Linked DNA regions of Tamandua tetradactyla. The protein of the gene in region 1 purifies or fractionates together with the protein of each later gene. This does not show direct contact. Links are inferred from orthologs where the notes say so. Each region holds a gene or a part of one and is shown in the gene's direction. Other genes may lie near its edges.

Evidence for each region.
Region 2: the proteins of PTCH1 (region 1) and GRK2 purify together in Homo sapiens (affinity purification with western blotting; 3 studies listed by BioGRID and IntAct, with this or other methods). This does not show direct contact. The link is inferred for Tamandua tetradactyla from reciprocal best matches to the Homo sapiens genes PTCH1 and GRK2.

What each region holds. Positions count from the first base shown.
Region 1 is NC_135328.1:122,452,297-122,460,368, reverse strand, and holds the start of PTCH1 (protein patched homolog 1), read left to right. Parts: upstream 1-4,848; coding exon 4,849-5,055; intron 5,056-5,862; exon of another isoform or gene 5,863-6,013; intron 6,014-6,720; coding exon 6,721-6,913; intron 6,914-7,441; exon of another isoform or gene 7,442-7,564; intron 7,565-8,072.
Region 2 is NC_135335.1:7,144,870-7,152,881, reverse strand, and holds the start of GRK2 (beta-adrenergic receptor kinase 1), read left to right. Parts: upstream 1-4,947; 5' UTR 4,948-4,979; coding exon 4,980-5,092; intron 5,093-5,725; exon of another isoform or gene 5,726-6,105; intron 6,106-8,012. UniProt on the Homo sapiens protein: Specifically phosphorylates the agonist-occupied form of the beta-adrenergic and closely related receptors, probably inducing a desensitization of them. Key regulator of LPAR1 signaling.

The sequences.
Region 1 (8,072 bases):
TTTAGATGTGTGTGGGGTGGATATTTGAAGTATTGAAACAGAAAAAGGGAGGAAATATGAAGGAATCCAGAGGGTTGAAGGAATCTATTTTTAAAGCTACAGGCTCCAGGAAAGACTTGGATCATGATGGGGAGGGGGGAAAATGACAATTTATGCCCCGAGATGAACTTTATTAGGAAAGAAGAAATGGGAAAAATCAGCTCTTTCTTCAAGGAGGCAGGCAACTCCTGCTGGTTGATAAGGCCCCAAGCTCTCAGGAGGGGAGCTAAGCCACAGAAAGGCCATTAAAGGGACCCTCTTCCCAGCAGACACCTTAGGCAGGCCTGGCTCCTCCAATCAGCACCATATCAGGTCTGTGGGATCCTTGTGGTTAGTTGAAGTTAACAAACCCGGTGTGGTGCTGCGGTCCCCTGCTCAGGGCATGCATATTAAAGCCAACAATGCTTACAAATGTAAATAAGGCCAGATTGATTAGGGACAACATTATCGCTGGGAATGTCGCACTCGCATGCATCAGCAATGAGGCAAATTGGGGGCGGCCTCAGCCCTGACCACCCAAGTCGAGCAGGCTTTTTACACTAGCTCCTCTTCCCTTTCTTAAAACCTTACAGAAACAAGGCCAATTAGATCCTCAAAGTAATTCATCTCTGCGTATGAAAAAAAGCAGACCACAGGGGAAGCGGCGGGTGGGGGGTGGAGAGATTAAGATAGCGCTTGTTAGAGCCCATGCTCGGGATTGCGTTCTGGAACCAATGGGTAGAATTTACAGGCCGAGACCATTGTCTGCAATTCTGAAAAGTTAACCTATCAAACAGCGGGCAAGAGGGCTCTGGGCGCTGAAAACCTCGCGGATCAATGTTCAAAACGTTTGGGAATTAAGTCAAACCGAGGGGAATGAGTCCGAGTGGGAAAAGCTTTGCCATTAAAATGGTGCACATAAAGCAGTAGCCAGAACAGGAGTACCTGAAGCTGCCTGCGCGGATTTAAACGTTGCTACGATTTGTACATAGCCTAAAATTTCATGCTAGAATTCCATAATCCAAGTAGGGGCACTGAGATTCCTATAAATAAAAGGCTGGGAGGAAAAGCTGATCTTTTGGTTTAAAACATTGTAAAGAAATTTGAAAAGATGAACATAGTAACGTATCCGTGGGGTACCTGGTGTGAAGCTACGGCTATTACCCCCAAGTCTTTAAAAAACAATTTCCAACAGCAAGCACGAAGTGGCCTGACTTCAAAAGTTTGCAGAAATCGTTCAGGAAGAAAAATTAGAATAATAAATCGCCCTTCCTGCTTTATGTTATTTATCAAACGTAATAAGGATTAGGATTTTGCTCAAAGGTTAAACTGACTACGTGTCGAGCCCGACCTTCCTGCAATATTATTTATTAATGCCGTGTCATTTAAATTGCACCGTGCTTGTTTTCCCTTCAGGGTTTTAGCAGACCTTTCCAAGAGCCGGCACACAAAATCACGTGTTCCTTGGAGTCAGGGGTTTTGAATTTCCGCGCTGCTCCGGTACTCGAGTCCTCCTCCTGCTCCCGGAACACCCCCCAGATACTTCTAATCTCTTTGTCTCTCTTTATTCTCCAGGACACCCAGGGTAACCGGGAAGGAGAAAAAGGTAGAGGGAATGAGGCGAGGCTGACGAGGGAAGGGTAGATGGGTGAGAAAGAAAAAGGGTTAGAAGGAAAAGATGAAGGGAAAGGAAAGGAAAGCAAATAGGGAGGAGGGAACCGTAGGCTGAAGGAGAGGGAGGAAGGAAGGGGGCGGGGTGGGCTGGCGGACAGGCCCCCTGCGGGAGCCGCGTGGGCCGCCCCGGTGGCCCGCGCGCCCCGCTGCAGCCCTGCGCGGGCCGGGGCCGGCAATGCGGGGCCGCTGAATGGGAAGGACCAGAGCGCGCAGCTATTGGCCAGCCGCGGGGGGGCTGGGCAAGCTTTGGGCGACGTAAGGGGGCCGGACTGCCTTCAGGAATGTACTACGGCGTGTTCCGCACGTCCATCGGTGCAGGCGGGCGCGCGCCTCGCCCAGGCTCCAGGGAGTCCCGGCTGGAGCAGCCGGCCCAGCGCACCGACTCTTCCTGCCTGCTTGGCTTGGACCTCGGGCGCGGGGAGTCCAAGAACCCGAGCGCGCGCGCGCACCCGTACACACACGCGCGCGCACAGGCCTCCCGGCCGCCGAGGCGGCGACTAACGCGCGGGCTCTGCCCCGGGTCACGTGGCCCGCGGACTCCGCCTCCTCCCCCGCTCCACCCCCTTTCTCTCCATCTGGGTTTCTTTCTTTCCTTTCCTTTCCTTTCTTTCTTCTTTTTTTTTCAATGAACACACACCGTGTGCATCTTAAAGCTATACTGCTCCATTTCACGGCCTCAGTTGGCTCCTCGCTGCCGCGGATTTCTTTGCAGTTCAAACTTAAATTTTGCAGTTTAGAGATAAAAAGAAAGAAAAACGATTGAAACGAGGTATGATTCAGGGATCTGGCCCCTACCACAGGGAGGAATTGAATAACTTGCGAACGTAAGAAAAACAAAATCCACCAGCTCGAAAAAAATTATTTTAATGTAAAGCGGAGCTGTTTAGACAGTTTGATTTGTCTCTGGCCCCAGGATCCACCCCCAAAGGGTCCCGGGCTTTCTTCCCCAATGGGAAGTGAATCCCCGGACTATATTGGTGACAGTGGCCGCAAGGTTGGGACAAGTCCTCGCGATCAGCGCACAATTTGTTTCGAATGAAGAATCCAACATCATAGCCTTTATTCTCCCCTGGTACGTTGCGCTACTACTAAATATAACAGGATGGCTACGGTTTTTGTAAAAATCCGTTTAAAACTGACTTTCAATAAATAAGGACATGAGACTGGCGAAAAAAAAAAGATGGGAGATGACTCCGAATGAACCGCAAATAACCAGGGCAAGGTTTCTGTCCTCAGAAAAACAACTGCGTTTCTCTGGGCTTTTGAAAGGATTCTGTTGTTTCTCCTTTTATTTATGTTACATTTAAGATTCAAATAAAAAGCGCCTCTGCCTTCACAAGACTGCTTCGGGTGTCTGGATTCAACGTTTATACAACAGGGACTCCGGACTCCTTCAAACCAGGGTTGTGTGGTCGTGGGGTTTTCCGGGGGTTTGGGGTGGGGAAGCGGGCTCTTTGGGAGGCGGGCAATTTTAAGAAAGGGGGCTTTTCTCAATGTCCTCATTTTCCTCTTTAACTTCCCATTTTGTTTATCTTAATGCGAGGCGTTTTTCCCTGCGAGAGTCTAAGTCTTCCCTTTAGTTATAAAAGAAAAGAGAAGAAGGGGGAAAAAAAATCTGGCACACACTGGTGCACTATCCGCCACCCTGTCATTATCGGCGCAGGCCTGGGAATTCAAGCCGGACCTCCCAGTATCTGCTGCAGCTTGAGGCCAGGGTGCCTCTGAAAGGGTTTTCTTTGAGGAATTTCAGAAATTGTTTAAGCGCTTAAAAAAATATTACATTTTTCCCGTGTCTGTCGCGAAGCAAATACGAGTGTGTGTGTGTGTGTGTGTGCGCGCGCGCGCTAGTGTGTGCGCGCAAAAGGCGACTCACAAAAAGAAGACACTGTTGAAAAGAAAAGGAATAAGAAAGAAGGGAGGGGGGTGCATTCCTTAATGGAAGTATTGCATGCGAGAAGGTTGGCGCTCTCGGAGGCTCCCCCTGAAGCCGGGGATGCACACACTGGGGTTGCCTACCTGGGTGGTCTCTCTACTTTGGTGAGCTGTTGCTAAGCAGCTAATAATAGTCATGTTTGCTGAGTAATTTCTGCCCTCCGCGAGCCAATCGCGTCGCAGAAACCCAAGCCATCTGACAGCCCCGGGGGCGGGAGCTCCAGCCTTTTTCTCTTTCGCTCGCTCTTTCCCCCTCCACCCCCTCCCCTCCTCCTCCTCTTTCTCCAAATGGAGAGAGTTCTTTTTTTTCTTCTTCCATCTCATCTATTGAATCAAGGAGCTGCTGCGGCCGCTGCCCGCTGCACACACACAGAGCGGAGTCCTCAGGTCCCGGGAGCGAGAGAGGCGCGCTGCACGGGGGCAGAATGGTCCAGCGAGTCGGCGAGGAGCACAAGAAAGCAGAGTCCGGGACCAAGCAGCCACCGCGAACCCAGCAGCCAGAGCCCGAGCAGCCCCAGAAGCCCGAGCAACAGCTTCAGGAGCCGCCACGGCCAGCAGCAGCAGCAGCAGCAGGAGCACCGGCAGCAGCAACAGCAGCAGCAGCAACCTCGAGAGCAGCAGCAGCCGCGGGAGCAGCAGCAGCGACGGTGGCGGCGGCTGCCCCCGCCCGGCAGCGCTGAGAGCCGCCGGGCAGCCCCGGACCCCGCGGCGGCCGCGGCAATCCTGCGCTTGTCCTCCCCAGCAGCTGGGGCGACCCGGGAGACGCCGAGGGAGTCAGCCCCGCCGGCGGGAGCGGCGGGGTTTTGCTCGTGCTTTCTGCAGTGAAGGGGTCGAGGTGCTGGGTCGAGGGGCGGGTTGGGGGCCGCAAGGAGCCACCGCGGAGCGCCGGAGGGACAGGTTCGCCCCGCGCGCCAGCTCTCGCCCTCCCGCGAACTGGATGTGGGCAGCGGCGGCCGCAGAGACCTCGGGACCCCCGCGCAATGTGGCAATGGAAGGCGCAGGGGCTGACTCCCCGGCAGCGGCCGCGGCCGCAGCGACAGCAGCGCCCGCCGTGTGAGCCGGAGAAGCAGGTCTGTCAGCCCGAGCGCGAGCAGCCGGGGGCCAGCAGCGTCCTCGCGAGCCGAGCGCCTGGGCGCGCTGGGAGCTCGCAGCGGCGGCAGCAGCAGCGCGCCGGGCAGCCCGGGAAGCCTCGGTCCCCGCGGCGGCGGCGGCGGCGGCGGCAACATGGCCTCGGCTGGTAACGCCGCGGAGCCCCAGGACCGCGGCGGCGGATGCAGTGGTACTCCCGACCGACCGGCCGGCGGTGGCGGCGGCGGCGGCGGGAGGCGCAGACGGACCGGGGGGCTGCGCCGCACCGCCGCGCCGGACCGGGACTATCTGCACCGGCCCAGCTACTGCGACGCCGCCTTCGCTCTGGAGCAGATTTCCAAGGTGCATTTCAGACTCTCTTCTCCTCCCACTCTCTTTTCCCTCCTCTTCCTCTTTGGGACGCCCCCGCCACACACACACGCACGCACGCACGCACACACACACACACACCCCTCCAGCAAAAGAAGTAGACAAGTGGGGATTGAAAAATTCAAACCCTCCCTCCGGTCTTGGGAGGAAAGGGCTGTCTGAGGGCCACAGGGGGTGGAGGTGTGTGTGTGTGTGTGTGTGTGTGTGTGTGCGCGCGCGCGCGCGTGTACACGCGCCCTCCCCGGCGTTCCTTTCTGGAAAACTGGAAAGCGATCCACAGTCGACCACCTCGAGGGCAGCCGCGGAACTGCCCTGCCCCCGTGCCCCTGCCCCTGCCCCCCTCCTGCTGCACCCCTGCCACTATTTGCAGCCTAAACCCCTGTAAAGCCACATTTCTTAACATCTTGAAGGGGGAGGCGGAGTGGAGGGAGGCGGAGAGAGGAAGGGGGGGAGGGAGCTGAAATAAAGGTGGTTTCCTTTTTTGGCAGCCGGTTTTGCTTTTGTCGAGCATGAATCTCTGCTCCCTTAAAAATTATCTTCGGGAGAGGGCATCCCCCCTCTTCTTTGACGGTTTTTGAGCCGCCTATTCTCAAAGCCTGGGGAGAAAGGGAACGTTGTAAACAAATTGCCACCTTAAATCCGCAGTGCGGGTCTATGGAGCGGCCGGGTTCATTGTGTTTACGAGGCTCGTTGAAATGTGTGGAATCCGGGGAAGGCAAGCACCCAGACGGGGGCCCGCCGGGCCCGGGGTCGCGGCCAGCGCGGGGGAAACGCCGCCGCCGGGAGGAACCAGCGCCCCGCCAGGACCCCCGCCTGCATCGGCCTGGGCCCTTCCCCAGGGCACTCGGGTGGTTTTTTACGTTTAACCAGAAGGGAAGGGAGAGGAGGGAAAGATCCATGTGGCTGCCCTCTTCCGATCACAAATATTGTCGTAAGTTGGAGATGGCTGCCCCACTTCCTAATTCAGCTCACACAGCCGCATGGAAATGCATCGCGAGTGAGCTCCGGTCGCCGCGCTCACCACGTGGATCCTCGTTTGCTACCACGCCGGGCGGGGGGTTTAGATGCGGGAACCCGCAATACATTGTTAACAAAGCGCGCTCACCCCCCTGCCCCCGGTCCCTGCCGGGGCACCCCGAGCTGGTGATGGCTGGAGCAGGATCTACTGGGAAGGGGAACTGGGTTGGCTTGTTCTTAAAAACTGGGCTCCACCCGCAGGGATTATGTACCCCCATCCCTCTTCCCTAACCCAGGGTAAATATTGCCAGTGTTAAGCGATTTCGCTTCTCTCTTCCTCGGCTTCCTCCTCCGGGTGTCCTGTCCATCCTAGGCCCCCAAGTCACGCTTAGGGATGCTGCGCCGGACGTGCGTGGGGGTGCCCCTCCTGTCGCCGAGATGCAGCTCCCACGCTGCAGCCGGATTTATAATTTATGACCAGCCCCCCTCCCACCCACCCCCGCCACGCCGCTCGCGTTACCTCGGGCCGGACTGGGTTCCAGCCCCGAGGGCGAGTCGCTGCGTCGCAGCCGCCCGAGGCCAGGGCCGTCGGGGGATCCTCGGGCGGGTGTGTGCGACCGGGCGTGGGTGCGCGCGCGGGGACTCTCCAGCACTCACTCCTCACTTCTGCTTCGTCCCTAGGGGAAGGCTACTGGCCGGAAAGCGCCGCTGTGGCTGAGAGCGAAGTTTCAGAGACTCTTATTTAAACTGGGTTGTTACATTCAAAAAAACTGCGGCAAGTTTTTGGTTGTGGGCCTCCTCATATTTGGGGCCTTCGCTGTAGGATTAAAGGCAGCTAATCTCGAGACCAACGTGGAGGAGCTGTGGGTGGAAGGTAAGATACTCAGCGCTGGCTGCTGCGCCCTTCTTTCCCCCAGTCCCCAGTCCCCAGTCCCCCTTCCCTGCCTTTCAGTTGATAAAGATATTTACCAGAATACACCTAGAGCCTTTCAGTAAAGAGAGAAAAACCCTTGCCCACACCAGGGGGAATTGTTTATTGTTTGGGCGCCTGGCTAGGAGCCAGGCCCGCCCGACAAAGGCCGCGCTGTAATCTACTCGGGGCGCTGCGCTCTGCTAGGTGTTGTGGGAGAGAGTGGCGAGGGCGGGCTGGCGGGGGCGCAGGGCCCCTCTGCGGGACGGACCACTCCGCACGGCCGGGGGTCCCCCGGGCCTGGGCCCGCCAGGGTTCGGCTGGTGCAGCGCCCCAAGACGCGGCTAGGGTGAAGGGCTCTTGCGTCTTGGGTCTCCTCCTCAGCTTCATTCCCTCCCCCGCCCCCACCCACCTCGTCCAAACAGAAAGGAATGGGGTGGAAGAAAAAAGCCACCCCTCCGGCTGGAAGGAGTGCGCGCGCCTCCGGCGGCCGCGGCCGCTGCGCTTGGGGAGGGCGGAGGGGCGGGCGGAGCGCCGGCCTGCGGAGGCGGCTGCGTGTGTGGTCCTGTTTTTGGACGGCTTTCAACTCTGGGGGAAAAAAACATTTGTCTCAAGGTACAAAAAAAAAAAGGGTGTGTTGGGGGGGAGGAGTTGAAAAAAATAGTAAAGCAGACTGGAACGCATGTTTGCAAAGTAGATTAATGTTTCCTCGCGGGTGGGGGCTTTTTAGAAGGTATTATTCTGGGGGGAAGCTGCATTTTGCAGGCAGAAAGAAGAAATGTGTTTTAAGAACGCCTGTTTGGAGGGAGGGGCCGCAGACTCTCCACGTTCCTCAATTTGGGGATTCTTGGGGCCTTTTTGAAAAGCAACTGTTAATTTAAAATAGATTTTTGGTTTTCTTAAGACAGAAACAGTTTATATTCTTTTGGTGATACAGTATTTTTTGTTTGGTGTTTGGTTTTTTTTCTTCTTCCTGTTGATTCTTAATTACCTTTTTGGAAAATAACGAATTTTGGAATTCTTCAGCCCCTAACGAATTTTGGAATTCTTCAGCCCCTAAATATTGTCTTAATCCTCTCATCAATTACTGGAGGGTGGGGAGGATGGATTGAAGTAATTCTGT
Region 2 (8,012 bases), on another chromosome or scaffold:
GTTTCCAGCATTAAGTGAGATCATCTAGGCTCTTGAATAGAGTGAGAACCCAACGGTTATTATCATTATGCATAGTTTGTAAGCTCACCGTCTGGCTCTCTCTAGGTAGTAGGCACTCAACAAATATTGTCAAAGGAATGAGGAATGCATGAGAGGTGGCTGTCGCTGTCAGGCAGGAGTTTCTCCAGATCTGCCCAGTGTACCCCTGGTGAGGCCAGAGAAGACTCTGCCATCTTCAAAGCTGGGTACCAAGACAGATGGTGAGGCCAGGCCCGGGCAGGAGAGAACCGCACATGCCCTCTCCACCCTGTGCCCATTCACGGGCACATGCAGACACTGTCACATGCAAGACCTTCCCTTGGCCCTGAATGGCCAGCGGGCGGCCTTCTCCTGGGTGCCTCCACCTTGCATTAAAGCTCTTGCCAGATTAATTGGAGGTACAGCCAATTCGCATTATTGCTGTAATTATTCTCATTATTCACAGTAGTTGCAATGAATACCGAACCCTTGCCCCTAAGAGAAGTACAAGTTCCTGCAAGCTCTGGTCACCTTTTTGTCAGTCAATACATAACCTTGTTTTAGGCTTTTCTGGTTTTTGTTGTTGTTTTTTACTTCTTTATTGTATAATTTTTTATTGTACAATTATTTTTATTGTATAACATATATATATTGTATGATATAACATATATGCAAAGCAAAGCAAGAAAAAACCAATGGTTTTCAAAGCACTCTTCAGCGAGTAGTTAGAGGACAGATCCCAGAGTTTGTCATGGGCTACCATATGATCCTCTCAGATTTTTCCTTCTAGCTGCTCCAGAATATAGGAGGCTAGAAGGAATAAATATTTTCTGAATCATCACAATTAACTTTTTTTCTTTTTTTGTGTGAAAAATAACATATATACAAAAAAGCAATAAATTTCCAAGCACAGCATGACAATTAGCCGCAGAACAGATTTCAGAGTTTGGTGTGGGTTACAATTCCACAATTAGGTGTGTTTTTGTTTAAAGACATCTAATTCAATATATATTATTGATTCATAACACTGTACTTGCAACCAACAGCACTCTACCTTACACCTCGACAAAGTTTCTCTTACACACGTGCCTTCTCTGTAAGGTACATCGGAGTCTTCGTGTATTTAGGAACACTAGACAGCACTTCAGCGCTACGCTGGGGGGGCCATTTTAAACAGCAAAATCACCAACAAAAGAGCAACCCCCCAAAATGCGCAAAAAACATGGCACTAAATATATCATGAAAAACACACTTGTTTAGCAGCATGAGAACTGAAATGACAAGTCCAAGAGTCAAGGTGTTCAACCTCAGCTGGAAATTTTCGTCTGCTCTGGACGTGTCTGTGAATGACCGCCAAAGCGCTGCCAATATCAATTCGGGGGAACAGAGTCATTTTCGCCAGTTGGTGAATTTGCAACTACAGAATCCGTGAATAATGGATAAGACTGTATATGATTAGGGGCCTTCTTTCCCATCAGACTGGGCCAACGCTGAGTCCGATTTCCCCCTGCAGCCCTCGCGTTGTGCCAGGAGCCATGCTGGGTATGAGGGACACAGCCGTGACGGCAGGGACGCCAAGGAAACCTTTCAGCCAATGAGACAGCAGAGTGAGCAGGAGCCCACCTCGCCAGAAAGTGAGAGGTGATGGGGACTTGGACTGGGCTTTAGCAGGGCGCTGTCAAAGGATTCAGGGTACATTTTGGAGACAGTCACAGCAGGTAGCTGACAGGTCAGTCTGGACTACAGCGTATGCGTGTGGGGGTGGGGTGGGGAAGGGGACAGAAATATACTGAGGACGACTCCTGGGTTTTTGGAAGATGAAAGAGCCATGACTGAGATGGGGGTGCGGGAGAGAAGCAGGGTGGGCAGGGGGTTGGTTGGCGGTGGCGAGAGCTCAGTGTGGGATGTTTCACTTGCAGCACCTGTTAGTCACCCAGGGTGGGTGCCAAGTAATAAAGCGTCTATGCGTCTGCCACCCAGGCAGAGATGGAGGGTGGTCCATGGCTCTTGGCACTGCCAGCCTCCCAGCCACAGCCTGGCCCCGTCTGGGAACCGGATGAGGGTTTGTTGCAAGAAGGAATGCCTGGAGTCTGACACCCAGGCAAGTCTACCTGCCGACCTACCCAGAACCACCAGAGGGCAGCACTGCCCCCCAAACCAGGCTCCGGTCCCCACCTCTACCCGGGCCGGGCAGTCACACCAACTTCTCCCACTTTTCTGGGTCCCGGGAATCAATGAGGCTAGGGGTATGGGCTGGGCCAAGGGCGGGAGGGGTTGTCAGGGTTTTATGAGGTGGCGGGGGGTGGGGAGAGGGCAGGACCAGCTCCCGGGGCAGGATGGCTGGCAAACTCAGAACCCACAGGCAGAACCTGTTCTGACAAGTTTATCAAGCAGAATCTCTCAAATAGGGGCTGCCCAGAAAACCCAAGGAGTCAGGGGGTGGGGGAGAGTTAGGGGCCCCCTGCTGTGCACCTTGGCCCGGGTGCTGCCTCCGTCTCCATGTGTCACCTCGGGCTAGGGAGTTCACGCACTTGGTCACTCATTCTTTCATCCAATATTGACTGATGGCCTTTCTGTTATGGGTGCCAAACTAGGCCTAGGGGGGAAGAGATGAACCCCGAGCGTTGATTACAGTGAGATTTACCTTTATATTTTCATGCTTGAGCATTTCCTATGTCAGGATGTGTTCTCCAGTGATGCGAACGTTCCATAAAGCCCCACCCCTCACTGTCAGTGGTGCACCTTACAACTGATGATGTTTTCAAATCAAGGAAATAGGGTGGTGAGTGCAGAATCAGGGATGGACACAGTTGGGGTTAGGGCATCATGGAAGGCTGCGTGGAGGAGGTGGGTCTTGAAGGACAAGCAGGAGTTATAACGTCAGGAAAGAAGGCACAAAGAAGGGCTTCCAGGCATAGGGCGTGCAGGTGAAAACTGATTAGCAGTCTGCTTGGGGTAACCTTAGGTGCAGAGGATGGTGGCAAAACGAGCAGTAGTGGGACATGAGGGCAGGGCCCAGCCATCCAAGACTCAACTCAACCTGATCTGCTTTTGGGCTTAAGTGGGTCCCCCACTCCCAGCAGCTCCCAAAGTCCTAGAGAGCTGCATCTTCATGCTTAATAAGTGGTGACCCAGGAGCTCTAGATTTGGGACTGGCAATTGTGGTTAGGCCCTGCATCAGGGCAGCAACCCCCAAGGAGTGGACTGGTGGTCCGAGAGGATTTTCAGGAGGCCAGCCCAGGATGGCGTGGTGATAAATTAGAGTAGGGAAAGGTGAGAGAAGAGGGAGGGGTTGGGATGATACCTGCAGTTCTGACTTGGGTGTGTATCTGCAGGGACGGCGGTGCCACCCAGTGAGAAGGGGAGCTCACCTCCCTGACACACTCAGTTCTAGGCTCTGCCAGGACTGGTCTGCGCTCCCTAGCCAGAGGGGCTTACTCCTTCTCCAAGAAGCCCATGAGGGTGGGATCCTTGCTTTGCAAGTGCATCCTTCCTGGTGGCTGGCCCACCAACTGCCATGGGGATCGAACCTGCTGCCAAAGGAAGTGGGGAGGAGATCCAGAGTGGGGTATGTTGAGATTCTGTGTGTGTGTGTGTGTGTGCGCATTGCCTAGAGACACACAGATTTAAGCCACCTGCTTGGGTGGGCTCTCAGCAGGGTGGGCTTCCTCTGCCAGGTAGTACTGAGACCCCTGTGCCCTCCCAGGCTGGGGGGGGGAGATCTGATCCCACGTTGTGGAATCATCGCGAATGGGATGGGATGCAGGGAGGGAAGCTGACCCAAGTGTGCAGGTCAGGGGCCTGGGTCTGGGGTGGGCTGGGGCTGGTTTGTGTGCAGGGTCCGTGGTCCTGAGTGGGAGTCCTGCAGCCAGGTCTGGAGAAAGAGGGGTGGGGAGTGGAGTCTGGGGCAGTTGTCAGGTCCAGGTGCTGGGACCTGGTGACCCTATAAGGGTTCTTCATCCAGTCTTGGTCCAGGGTGGGGTGCCCTGGCCTTGGGCTATATGTCCAGCATCCTGGGTGGCAGGTCCAGGACTCAAGTCCAGGTCTGGGCCCTGACCCCGAGTGTGGGGATCAGGGTCAAGGGAGCGCTCTGGGTCTGGGGATGTGACCAGCGTCTGAAGTCAAGGTCCAAAGTCTGGATCTGGGGTCCTGTTGGCGCGCTGGGGTCACGATTGTGTCCAGATCTGGGGTCCGTGTCGTGGTCCTGGTGTGGAGTCAGGGTCCCGGGTTGTGATCTGGGTCAAGGTCTCATGATCAAGCTCTGGATCTGGGGTCCTGTTGGCGTTCTGGGGTCAGATCGTGGACGGGGATCGGAAGTGGGAGTCTGGGGTCTTGATCGGAACAGCTCTGGCCTCAGGACTGAGGTTTGACCGTGGAGTCCCGGGGTCCGGCGTTGGGATCCGAGTTGAATTTAGGGTCCTCTTCGGATCCCGAACCTCTTCGGTTCCAGGTCGGGGCTCGAGGGTGGAGATCCGCGGGCAACCGGCGGGCGGCCGCTGGGATCCGGGATCGTGCCCCCAAGTCTGGGTCGGGGTCCCGGCTCCGCGGGCAGGGCCGGGCGGCCCGCGCGGCCTCCAGGGGGCGTCCCCGGCCGCCCGCGCCGCCCGCCCGCCCGGCTCGGCCCCTCGCGGGCTCGCTGGCGCTGCGCGCGGCAGGCGGGGCCGGAGGCGGCGGCGGCGGCGGCGGCGGCTCCGGGGCGCGGGCGGGCGGCGGCGCCCGGACTGCAGTCCCGGCGGGAGCGGACGGGAGCCGGGCCCGGGCCCGAGCTGGCGCCATGGGGCGGCGCCGCCTGTGAGCGGCGGCCGAGCGGAGCCGCGGGCGGCGGGCGGCGGGCGGGGCCGGGCGGGCGGGCGGGCGGCGGCGGCGCCCGAGGCCGAGCGGAGCGGCGGCCGGGCCGGGCCGAGCGCGCCGAGCGAGCGGGAGCGGGAGCGGCGGGAGGAGCAGCCGCCGCCGCCGCCAAGATGGCGGACCTGGAGGCGGTGCTGGCCGACGTGAGCTACCTGATGGCCATGGAGAAGAGCAAGGCCACGCCGGCCGCGCGCGCCAGCAAGAAGATCCTGCTGCCCGAGCCCAGGTGAGCCCGCCGGGCCCCGGCCCCGCAGCCCCGGCCCCCCCCAGCGCCGACCCCCCTGACCCCCCGCGGCCCCAGCGCCCCGGCTCCGGGCCCAGCACCTCACACGCGCCCCGGGTCGACCCCCAGGTCCCCGGAGCCCGGGACCCCAGGCCCTGTGCGCCTGAGCCCCGAGCGCCTCAACTCCAGGGCCCACCCCCCCCCCCCACTGCCCCACTCTGCCGGTCCCTCGGTCTGTCAGCCCTTCGCTCCTGCCCTCTGCCCCCACCCACCCCCAGAGCCCCATCACTCTCCCCCTTGTCCTCCTCGGAGCATCCCATGGTCCCCGTGGGGTCCCCTCCCCTCTGCGGGCCACCATTTACCTGGCCTGTTGATAGCCCCCATCCTTTGGCTGTCCCTACTCCCAGCTCCCTTCCACGCCTTGCAGGGGAGCTGGGTGCTCTCCCCCCCACCCCCCCACACCCCAGTCTCTACTTGAGTGAAGTTGGAGGGAGACAGCCAGCCTCAGGGCAGCTTCTCAGGACCCTTCCTTGCTCCTGCTGCGGGATCACTGTCTTGGGGCTGGGTTTGGTGTGGTGGGCTGGGGGCACCGTGGGGCACGCGCCCTGCCCAGGTGGGTCGTTTACCAGGGGCCAGCCCCGCACCTCTGCCGCACCTGGGCCACAGATGCCACCCCTCTGTGAGACAGCTCGTGTCATCGTGCCTGGTATCAAAGTTTAAGGCTGTTCAGGATGTAGGCGCCGAAGCGTACAGGATGCAGAGGGTAGCTGTGGCTGCCCCGGTGCTTGGTGGCTTACGGACCATTTCCCCGTTGCTGGAGCCCCACAGCAGTCCCCCGGGGTGGGTAGGACACCTGTCCGGTGCCACACACGTTACCCAGTGTGCAATCGGGGTCCCCCCATCAGGGCCCCTGGCGTCTTGTTATAGGTTCTGCCACCAGGCTGGCCTCAGCCAGGGCCTGGATGTTCTGCTCCTGCAAGAGCTGTGTGCCCCCCAACCAGTCCTCGTGTCACGGGGTGAGGCCGGTCCCCTCTATATATCTCCCTCTGTGCAGAGGTGGCCTCTGTGGCCCCAGCCGGACTCTGGGCCCACCCCTGGCTGCCCCGGCCTCATCGTGTGATTTTAGGGAAGTCCCTTCCTGACTTTGGGCTTCAGTTTTCTCATCTGCAAAATGTGGAAGGTGTGAAGTGAAGGCTGTGGCTCTGCAGTGTCCTGAGGCTTCGAGGCACCTAGCTCAGCCTCTGCTAGTGTACCTCCCCAGGGGGGGTTTCAGATTGACTGAATACCAAGCCTGGGAGAGGAAAATTTGTCTGCATTTTGGGCCACCCACCCCCCCTTTTTTTTTTTTTGCTAAGACGTTTGCAATCAGATTTCTCAAAACAGGAACCAGAACTGACTGTCAGCTAGGGCCTGTCCAGGGAGAAGAGACAGTTAGAACAAAAATGAGTTCAGAAATGACGAAGCCATGAGGGAGGAAGTGGGGGGCTCAGGGTGTGCTCAGCCTCTAGGGCTCACATCGTCTCTTCTTGGTGGTAGTAGCCTGAGACCCTCCTGCAGGTTGGAGTTCTGAGAAGTATGGGGTGGGGCCTTTTCTGGAACTCTCTGCGTTTGGGTAATCTCTCCCCAGAGTGCACTGCTCCTGGCGGGGCCCCGCCTTGGGTCGGCGGTGCAGGTGTTAGAACCCTGAGAAACGAGACGTTCCTCTTTTCCTGTCTCCTTTGTCGCCCGTGGTAGTGATGGTGCTGATAGGAATGATGGTGGAACTTATCCTAGCTTATTATTTATTTTGACACCTGTCATCTCAGTTGATCCAAAAAGCAAAGCTGTGAAGTTGGCCAGACCATGCCAGGCATGGAGTAGTTGCTCAAGAAACATCAGAAGACCACGCTATCTCCTCCTGAGTGGGAATAAGGTGGGCTGTGTTAGGGCACAGGCAGGAGTCTGAGAGCAAGGTGGCATGGCCCGAGTATAGGGTCACCGTCTGGCAGCATGGTTTGGGCAAACCACCTGTATCTGTGACTGGGGCTCCAGGCTCCAGTGCTGAATGCCAGCGTCCTAAAGCCCAGGGAAGGGCTCTGCCTTGCACTGGTATACCTGGCAGCACAACGGGTGGTATTTTCCCCCCACTGAAAACTTGGAGAAACTGAGGCTTAAAGAGGGGAGGCTCAGAGCTTTGAACTCCCAGGCCAGTGCTCTTTCCCTGCTATGCCTCATCCTCTCTGCCCACCTCCAGCTGCCTCTGCGCACAGTTTAGTGGAATGTGCTGGCTGGCACCCATTGTCCGGACAGCCATGGGTCTGGGTCACTGGCCTGGAAGCAGCGGGACAGTTCCCAGTGCCGTCAGCTGTCACAGCTCACAGGCCCCAGCCCCCTCTCTATCGGCTGGGGCTGCAAACAGAGCTGCCCTGGGAAAGCTAGTGCTTGGAGGAGGTAGCTCGAGCCCAGAACTCCCATCCGACCCAGGGGCCTGTCTAACCCCACGCTCACAAGGTCAGAGTCAGGGGAGAGACCACGGTTTGTCCCAATGACAAGCTGCCATTTGGCACCACCTCGGGGTGGCTCATCCTGGCACCCTCCTTGTGGCTGGTCCCTGACTCTCTGACTGCTGAGGGCCAGGGGACAGGAGCTGTTGGGCACGGTGCCACTTTGAGTTGGCATGGAGACCTCCTCTTCTATCACCCTTTAGAACTCAAGGATTCAGACCCATTTCTCGTTGTGTCGCTGGAAGACAGGGGTCCTGGCTTCTAAACCACCTTCAATGCCAGTTCACAAGGGGCTCGGGGAAGCTCGCTTATCCTCTCTGGGCCTCCCTTGGTTTCTACCTTTGTGAAATGGGGGGCTGCCTGTGCACAGTGATACCCCTTTCAGCCCCAGGGTCCCTAGTTCTGGGCCTCCCTGTGCGCCATCTGCTCTCTCCCCAGCG